Linked DNA regions of Notamacropus eugenii. The protein of the gene in region 2 interacts with the protein of the main gene of each other region in a pairwise test. Links are inferred from orthologs where the notes say so. Each region holds a gene or a part of one and is shown on either strand. Other genes may lie near its edges.

Evidence for each region.
Region 1: the proteins of CCDC57 (region 2) and TSGA10IP interact in binary tests that used the Homo sapiens proteins (3 or more experiments, as listed by UniProt). The two-hybrid records come from large-scale screens. The link is inferred for Notamacropus eugenii from reciprocal best matches to the Homo sapiens genes CCDC57 and TSGA10IP.

What each region holds. Positions count from the first base shown.
Region 1 is NC_092873.1:18,640,376-18,644,294, reverse strand, and holds the start of TSGA10IP (testis-specific protein 10-interacting protein), read right to left. Parts: upstream 2,861-3,919; 5' UTR 2,846-2,860; coding exon 2,678-2,845; intron 2,263-2,677; coding exon 2,135-2,262; intron 2,053-2,134; coding exon 1,597-2,052; intron 1,443-1,596; coding exon 1,276-1,442; intron 652-1,275; coding exon 522-651; intron 1-521.
Region 2 is NC_092873.1:326,921,386-326,925,304, reverse strand, and holds the start of CCDC57 (coiled-coil domain-containing protein 57), read left to right. Parts: upstream 1-1,740; 5' UTR 1,741-1,882; intron 1,883-3,919. UniProt on the Homo sapiens protein: Pleiotropic regulator of centriole duplication, mitosis, and ciliogenesis. Critical interface between centrosome and microtubule-mediated cellular processes. Centriole duplication protein required for recruitment of CEP63, CEP152, and PLK4 to the centrosome.

The DNA.
Region 1 (3,919 bases), about 310 Mb from region 2:
TGGTTGCAGAGCCCACCAAGTGAATTCCTTCAGAATTCTGAGGCCTCTAGCCACAGCATCATGACCCTGGTGCAGCTTTTGGATGTCCATCAAGGGACTGCTAATGGGCCCAACCTCCGCCCCAGAAGGGCTTGGGATTTTTAGGGTTTAGGACCTGGCTAGGTGACCTTGGACAAGTTACTCTAGGTCTCTAGGGTTCAATTTCCTTAATTATGAGATGAGAGGGTAGAAGGTCTCTTCCATCTCTGTCTACACTATTGTCTTTTCACTCTGCATGTGTGTGTGTGTGTGTGTGTGTGTGTGTATGCATGTGTACCTATGTATTATAGATGACAGGTGGTAGAAAGTGAGTCTGTGATTCAGTGATGTAGGAACCGCCACTGTGGGCGTATTATACCTCTGTGTATAACCTGAACCTGTTGATGGACCAACCAGTGAAAAGTCTAGACAGCCAGTGAAGGAATGATCTAGGGGAAGGCACCCCCAGCCCAGGGTAGGGGATGGGGGTGGGGGACAGGTACCTGGTGGCCTCTCGTCGCATCTGGAAGGTTCTGGTGGTGCCACCAGTTGTCAGGAAGGGCTTGACATCCTCCCAGGCCTGTACCTTCTCGCCTTGAGGATGGGTGGTATCCTGAATTGGCCACTGGGAGTCTGACAACAGAGGAAGAGAAGTCAGGAACCCCTCCTCACTCCCCATCCTCCCCCAATGCCTTACCCCAGTGCAGAGGGGCCAGGAGGTTCTAAGTAAGGGAGGTATGCAGGTAACTGAGGCTGGCCTCTTAAGCACAATAACCTTTGGAATGGACATAATCCCACAATGTTGCCCATATATCTCTGCTTTCTTAAGCAGGTGGTGCAGCCTGGTAGGGGATATCCCTGGGTTTGGAGTCAGAGATCCTGGGTGTCAGGGCCATAACTCGAAGTCATAGCTCTCAAAGCAAGCAGCACGAAAGGTTCTCAGTTCAACTTTTTGAGACCAATCCCAATAAGTGGTGAAGAGGAGAGCCTCTAACTCAGGACACTGGCCAGAGACTGTGGGAAACCAGGAGGCTACTTCTGGGAGTGGGAAGGCCAGGCTGGGGAGGGACCCCCTAGTATAAAGTGAAGTGGGGGGTGCTGCCTGGCAAATTCTGATTTTAATGTTTATTCTGGCTAATGGGCTGCTCATTCTATCCACTGACACAGTACAAACAGAAGAACCCCAAACTCCTCCTTTGACAAGTGAGCTGAAGGCCAGAGAGGGCTTGGGAGTCATTGGCAGGGGGCATGACTTACTGTAGAGTTCATCTTCCTGTAAGTGTTTCTGCAGAATTTCCATATCTAAGAGCTTCTCTGGGTCCTTGGACTTTGCCGACTTCCTCTGGAATCCTCTGAGGAGGGCGAAACCAGCCAGATGGAGGGCTTTCCACTTCCTCAGCTGGCCTCTCTCATCTTCTCTGCTCCTGGGCACAGGCAGGGAACAGATGAACTTCTTGAAGGCCCTGTCCACTCTCTCCTCTCCCTCTGCTGCCCCCACCCAGCTGTAGTTACCTCCCCTCACCCTGGGCTCCCCCCACCATCCTTAGCCTTTGGGCCCATTTTGCTTGGAACCCCAACCTTTCCTTGGAAGACAGAAAAGAGGGCCAGGTGGTGAGTTCCCTCCTGCCCTCAGGCCACTCCTCCTCCCTGCCATCCTGTTCTTGCCCTTCCAGCTCCTGGCCATCCTGATAATCCTGGCTGTCCTGGCTCTCTTGGCTGTCCAGCTCAGAGTGAAGCCAGGTTTTCAACTGCCTCTTCATGTCCTGACTTCGGGCCTCCATCTTCCAGTAGAGTGGGAAGTTGGCCGGCTGGGCAGATGGGGGCATGGCCTTCAACCGGGATTTCTGGGGAGCCCTGGCAGGGGGCAAGGCTGAGGTCTTGGCCCTCTGGGCCTTCTGGGGGGCCCCCTGAGGTTGTTGGGTCTGGTGGGAAGAATTGGAGGAAGGCAGGGGCAGGCTCCGGCCATCCACCAAGAAGCTCTCCCAGGCCCACTGGAACGGGAAGGAGGGCTTCCGAGGAGGTGGTGGGATGAGGCTGGGGATGGGGAGAGAAGCGCCAGTCAGAATGTCAGCCTCCCAGAGCCCCGGGTCACCTCCCTGCACCCCCAGTTACTCACTCTTCAGCCTCAGAGGGCTCATTCCTCTTCTTGCCTTTGTTAGATGCGTCTTTCTTTCTGGTATTCCCAGCACTCCGGGCCCGAGGTCGGCCTTGGATCAGCACCCCATCTCCACTCCCAAAAGCACTCTAGAGGGGGGAATGACGGAGCCCCAGTGAATAGCCAGCATCCCTGCCCAGCACAGACCAGAACAGCATGTGCCCTGCATCCCACAGGCGAGGAGAGACGAGTCCCGTCAGCGGCTGATGTCCAGAAAGGGGAAGAGCCTTCTTACAGTCAAGCAGAATCTTAGGTCTGGGAGACAATGACATCCTGGGCCTTCTGACTCATTCTGCCCATGTGAATTACCTCATCATACACATGGGAAGCCACAGGACCTAGAGATCCCTGGATTTTCTCAGAAGAAGAGACTGTCACAGATCCTCCCTGCCTTAAAGAGCCCTTAACCCTTAGGGGACCCTCTGCCACTCCTCCCCCTGCGCCTCCGTGGACCAGGCATCCTGTCTCCAAGCTCTAGGGTCTTGGCAGTTAGAAGCCACATACTTGGTGGGCCAAAGGCACCCCAGAAAGGAGTCCCAGCAGTCCAGTGGCTGTTCCCTTTTCAGATGAGGCTGAAGGGACCCGGACTCGGGCATCCTGGTTAGGTTTCACCACAGAGGCAGCCAGAATTGACTGTTGATGGGTTCTTAGCAAAGTATTCTTCTGCCCCATCCCCCTATTTCAGAACTTCTACAAGCCTGGTCCTGGATCATCACTATGGAGACCAACAGGCCTCTGGGGAGGCATGGTTACCTGGCCTGTGAGACCCTGGCTTCTGAGAGCACTCTGGCCCCTGAAAGCACCTCGGGGCAACTGTCCTCCCTGATCATGTCATAATGTCTTGCTGTGTGTCTGGCCATTTGTAGTAGCCTGTACTGTAACTTTTGTGAGGGCAGCATCTGACCGGAACCTGCTCTCTATCTCCTTGAATGGGGTCTTACATAGTAGGCACACCCTCAGCTCAGGAGATTGACAGCCAAAGGAGGAAACTCAGACTCAGAGGAGGTCATGAGCAGTAAGCGGAGGAGCCAGTATTTGAGCCCAGCTCCTCTGACTCCCAGGGTTTCCCATGGCACCGTCCTGTGTCTAAGTGGTGGCTAAAGAACCCTTGCAGTCTAGGGTCAGGGCCTTCCTCTCTCTGGATCTCAGTTTCCCCACCTGTATAATAAGGGAATCAGACAAGATGATCACTTAAGGTCCCCTCTAGCTCCCACACCCTCTCCCTGAAATAGGGATCTTTTTGTTTGGGTTATACTTCTGCCTAGCCTGGGACCCTGGTCTGTCTGGTCTGTCCCTGCTCTCTGAGCTGTCCCCCCCATGGTTACAGCAGCTAGAGGTGTGAGTCCTGGTCTCTGCCTGGCTGGTAACTCTCTATGGAGCTGGGGGTGGGGGGGACTTCAAAGGGGCCCAAGAGGAGGATGAGCAAGTTTGAGTGTACAAAAGGTTTGATGGGGTCAGAGGAGATGCTCTCCCCACAACTAGCTCTGGGAGTCCAAGGTTCTGTCTGGGAAATTGGAGGCTCCCACCCCACATGAGGGGAAATGGCTTGGTATGCACCGGCCTGGATTCCTCCCGTTTGCCCTTGAAAATCCTATTTGCAAGTTTCCAAACGATTCTCAGAGGCACCCAGTCCAGCACCGCATTCCTTGAGGCATACAAATTTTGCTCAGAGACTTCCAGTGATGGGGAGGTCACTACCTTTTTCTTAAGGCTGCCCATGATGCTTTGGGACAGAAATGAGGGTTA
Region 2 (3,919 bases):
GCTTTAAAATCTTTGGGGATGGTGTGGAAATGGCCCATATTATTTTCAAGATGTGACTGATATGCAAATTAATCAGTGAAAACATTACTGAAGAGGTGATTTTTGGCAAGGATAATTATTTACCCAGCCAACAAAGGAATTGATTTATAGGGCGGCGTGTCCCAGACCCAGAAGATGTAGAACCACCTAGGGGTGAACTAGTAAATGTTTAACAACTTGGCTGGGGAGGGAGAAGTAGAATGTAAGGCACACAAATTTTTCAATTTAATCTGCATTATTAACCATTTCTTAAGTCTAGATAATCAACTAAATAGCAAATCAAAATTGTAAAGATTGCTCATTTCTGAAGTGTAAATGCTCACACTGAAAATATAACCATTTTTCACATGCCAGCTTGAGCTGACTCCAGAACACCCCCAACTATCACCCTTTGGACAATATCTTCCAAAATGTTGGAGTGATGGTCGGGGTGATACTTAGAATGAATGCTTTCAGACTCTCTGAAAGAAGAGTTGTACTTTGAACCTGGCTGTAGGACATCAAGAAAATCCAGCTTTGACTCAATCAAGAAATGAAATAAGTGGAATCCTTGTTTAAGAAGCATTGAATGTTATATCTGGAAGAGATTGCCTAGCTTTGTGATCTTAGGCAAATCATTTCATCTCTCTGGGTCTCAGTTTCCTCCTTTGTAAAATGAGGTTAAATGAGATTTTTTTTTAAACATTTAAACATGTCCTTTCTTAAAATTATTTACTCCATCCCTCTCATTTTGGCCAGGTAAAAGGCCATTTTAATTATCTTATTAAAATTAAAAAATTATTTTGTTAAATATTTCTCAATTACATCTAAATTTTTAATATTCACTTTTTAAAAATTTCATGTTTTAAATTCTCTCCCTCCCACCTCTTTGAGAAGGAGGATTTCAGTTAGATATGTGAAGTCATGCAAAATATTCCATACTATGCACATTGCAAAAGAAAACACACAAAAAACCCCAAAGAAAAATAAAATGCAAAAAAGATAAAGTGCTTGAATTCTTTCATAGCTTTACTTTCACAACAAATTCCTCATGAGGAAACTGAGGCACATAGAGGAAAAATTTAAAGTAGCAGTTGCCGAGGAAGTTTCTCTTCATGGGTAGGCAGTCCATGTGTTAAGTGTGAGTGAAGAGGAGGTCTACACTTCACAGGAGTGAAGACACCTGCTGAAGTGTCTTCAGGTCTTGGAGGAAGAAAATACATAGAATACTGTAATTAGTCAGGATGGACCTGAGTTTAAATGTAGCCTCTTGTTTGATAACTTGGGCAACTTATTGTATCTTACTTTCTCCTTCTGTAAAATGGGGCACGCACTTCTCTGGGTTGTTGTAAGGATACAATTACGTACTAAAGCTAGTCTTTACAGATATTATTTTATTCTCATAACAGCTCGGGGAGGTAGGGACTCGCATTATCCCTATTTCAAATTTATATCAATGCCAGCTACCACCTCCACCAGCACTCTCCTCCCCCTCCCCCTCCTCCACCCCCCCTCCCCCTCCTCCCCCCTCCTCCCCCCCCTCCCCTCCTCCACCCCCCTCCCCTCCTCCTCCCCCCCCTCCTCATCACCATCAGCGAGGATCTATCCTTAAGGTCTCACAATGGTGCCTTGATTCCCTAGTGCTCACAGAGAAGGACGAATGGGAAGGAGAGTTTCTGACAGAACCCGGACCTGAAGGACCAGTTTCCTGCGGGGAAGCCTTTGGCGGAGACACCCGCGAGCGCAGCTGGATGTGCTCGGCGGTCCTGAGGGAGGCGCGCAGTCCGGTTTCCATGGAAACGCGGCCTGGTCCCTAAGCCCGTCTGAACCCAGGATCGGTCGCGGAACCCAGACATTGCTCCCAGTGAGTAGCTCAGGATTTGCGAGAAAAGGGGGGGACGCCGGCCTCCTGGTCTCCTTGAGCTGAGGGGCGCACGAAGCCCCCCGGGTGGGAGCGGGGGTCTGGGCTGAGGCGGGGCGCGGGTTGCGAAGGTTCTTGGAACGGGCTGGGGGTGGGGGGCGGCCCAGGTGGGTTGGAAAACTCTAGAGGGAAATTGTGGGGTAGAGGACGGGGACGTTGGGGGGCAGAGACCCAGGGAAAAGCCCCTTCCCCGCCAGCCATGGCCAGCGCTTGTTATTGCCAAGCCTTCAAACGCCGCCTCCGTGGGTGGTGGTGCTAGGCGACCGCCCGAGGGTTCTGACCCGCCGTGCCCTACCTTAGGGGGTCTGCTGAAGCACGGATTGACCCCTTCTCAGCATGAAGTTTTTAAATTCATAGAGTAAAGTGCGTGTTACAAAAGAAACCAATCATATTGAAATATAGGTAAAGTAAAATGCCTAGGGTTACAAAGGAAACATATTGGAATACACTTGTTCATAATTCTTACATAAAATAAGATAGATAGGATTACAGAGGAAATCTGTCCATGAAATACAGTTATCTATTATTTTAATGTAAAATAAAATAGGACTACAAAGGAAATCTGTCCATGAAATACAGTTATCTATTATTTTTATGTAAAATAAAACAGGATTACAAAGGAAATCTATCAATGAAATACAGTTATCTATTATTTTTATGTAAAATAAAACAGGATTACAAAGGAAATCTGTCCATGAAATACAGTTATCTATTATTTTTATGTAAAATAAAATACAGATCACAAAGGAAACAAATTGTATTGAAACAGGTATATAATTTTTATGTAAAATAAAGTAAATAGGACTGAAATTTATCTATATAATTTTATGTAAAATAAAATGAATTACAAAGGAAATCTATCACAATGAAATAGTTATCTATAATTTTATATAAAATAAAATGTACAGTATTACAAAGAAAATTATATTGAAATAGTCATCTACCTAATTTTATGTAAAATAAAATACATAGATTTCAAAAGGAGCCCTATCATTGACATCGTTATTTATATATAATTTTATGTAAAATAAAATATGTAAGATTACAAAGGAAACCAATCATTGAAATATAATTATCTATGTATAATTTTCTATAAAATTAATAAATCAATCAATAAATATATACTGTGTGCCAGGCACTGTGCTATGGGCTGAGGATAAAATACATAGGATTGCACAGGAAACTAGTGATATTGAAATAGTTCCTTGTCTACCTGCTTACCTAATTTAGCCCCAAGTCTAAAAGTTTAAAGCCTCTTTGGAGACCAGCAATCAGTCAACAAGCATTTCAGTAATGCATTTAAATGCTTATTGACTGCATTTCATAGAAGATGGAGGTAGAAAATCTAGTCCATCTCCTTGCTTTGGCAGATGAGGAAACTAAGGTCAGAGGTGAATGGAATAACTTTGGCCAAGATATTGTAGCAAGTAGAATACTTAAAATTTCTATATAAGACAAATTAAACACATTATTTTTTTTATCCATTTTAAATTTTATTTTTAACTTAACCAGAAAACTGAGCATTTTTGTATACACAACAGAACAGAAAAAGATGATTTTATATAAAACTGTGAATCTTTCATGTTGCTTACTTTAAAGAAAACCTACATATACACACTATGATAAATTCCAAATGTCACTTTCAAAATTGTCTACCTTTCTCCCACTTCATTATCAACTGAGAAAAAGGTGGGGGAGACAAAGACCTTTGTAACAAACATAGTCAAGCAAAACAAATTTTGCTTGTCAGGCAGAGAATAATATAATGGAGACATGACTTATCTTTGTTAAATCTTTCAAAGTTGTTTTTCTTCACGGTATTGTCATTGTATGTATTGTACTCTTGGTTCTCTTCACTGAATTCACTTTGCATTAATTTATACCACCCAGAATTCTCAGAAATCATCACTTTCATAATTCTTACGGCATAATGTTATGTGTTTAGCCATATCTCAGTTGATATGCATCTTCTTTGTTTCT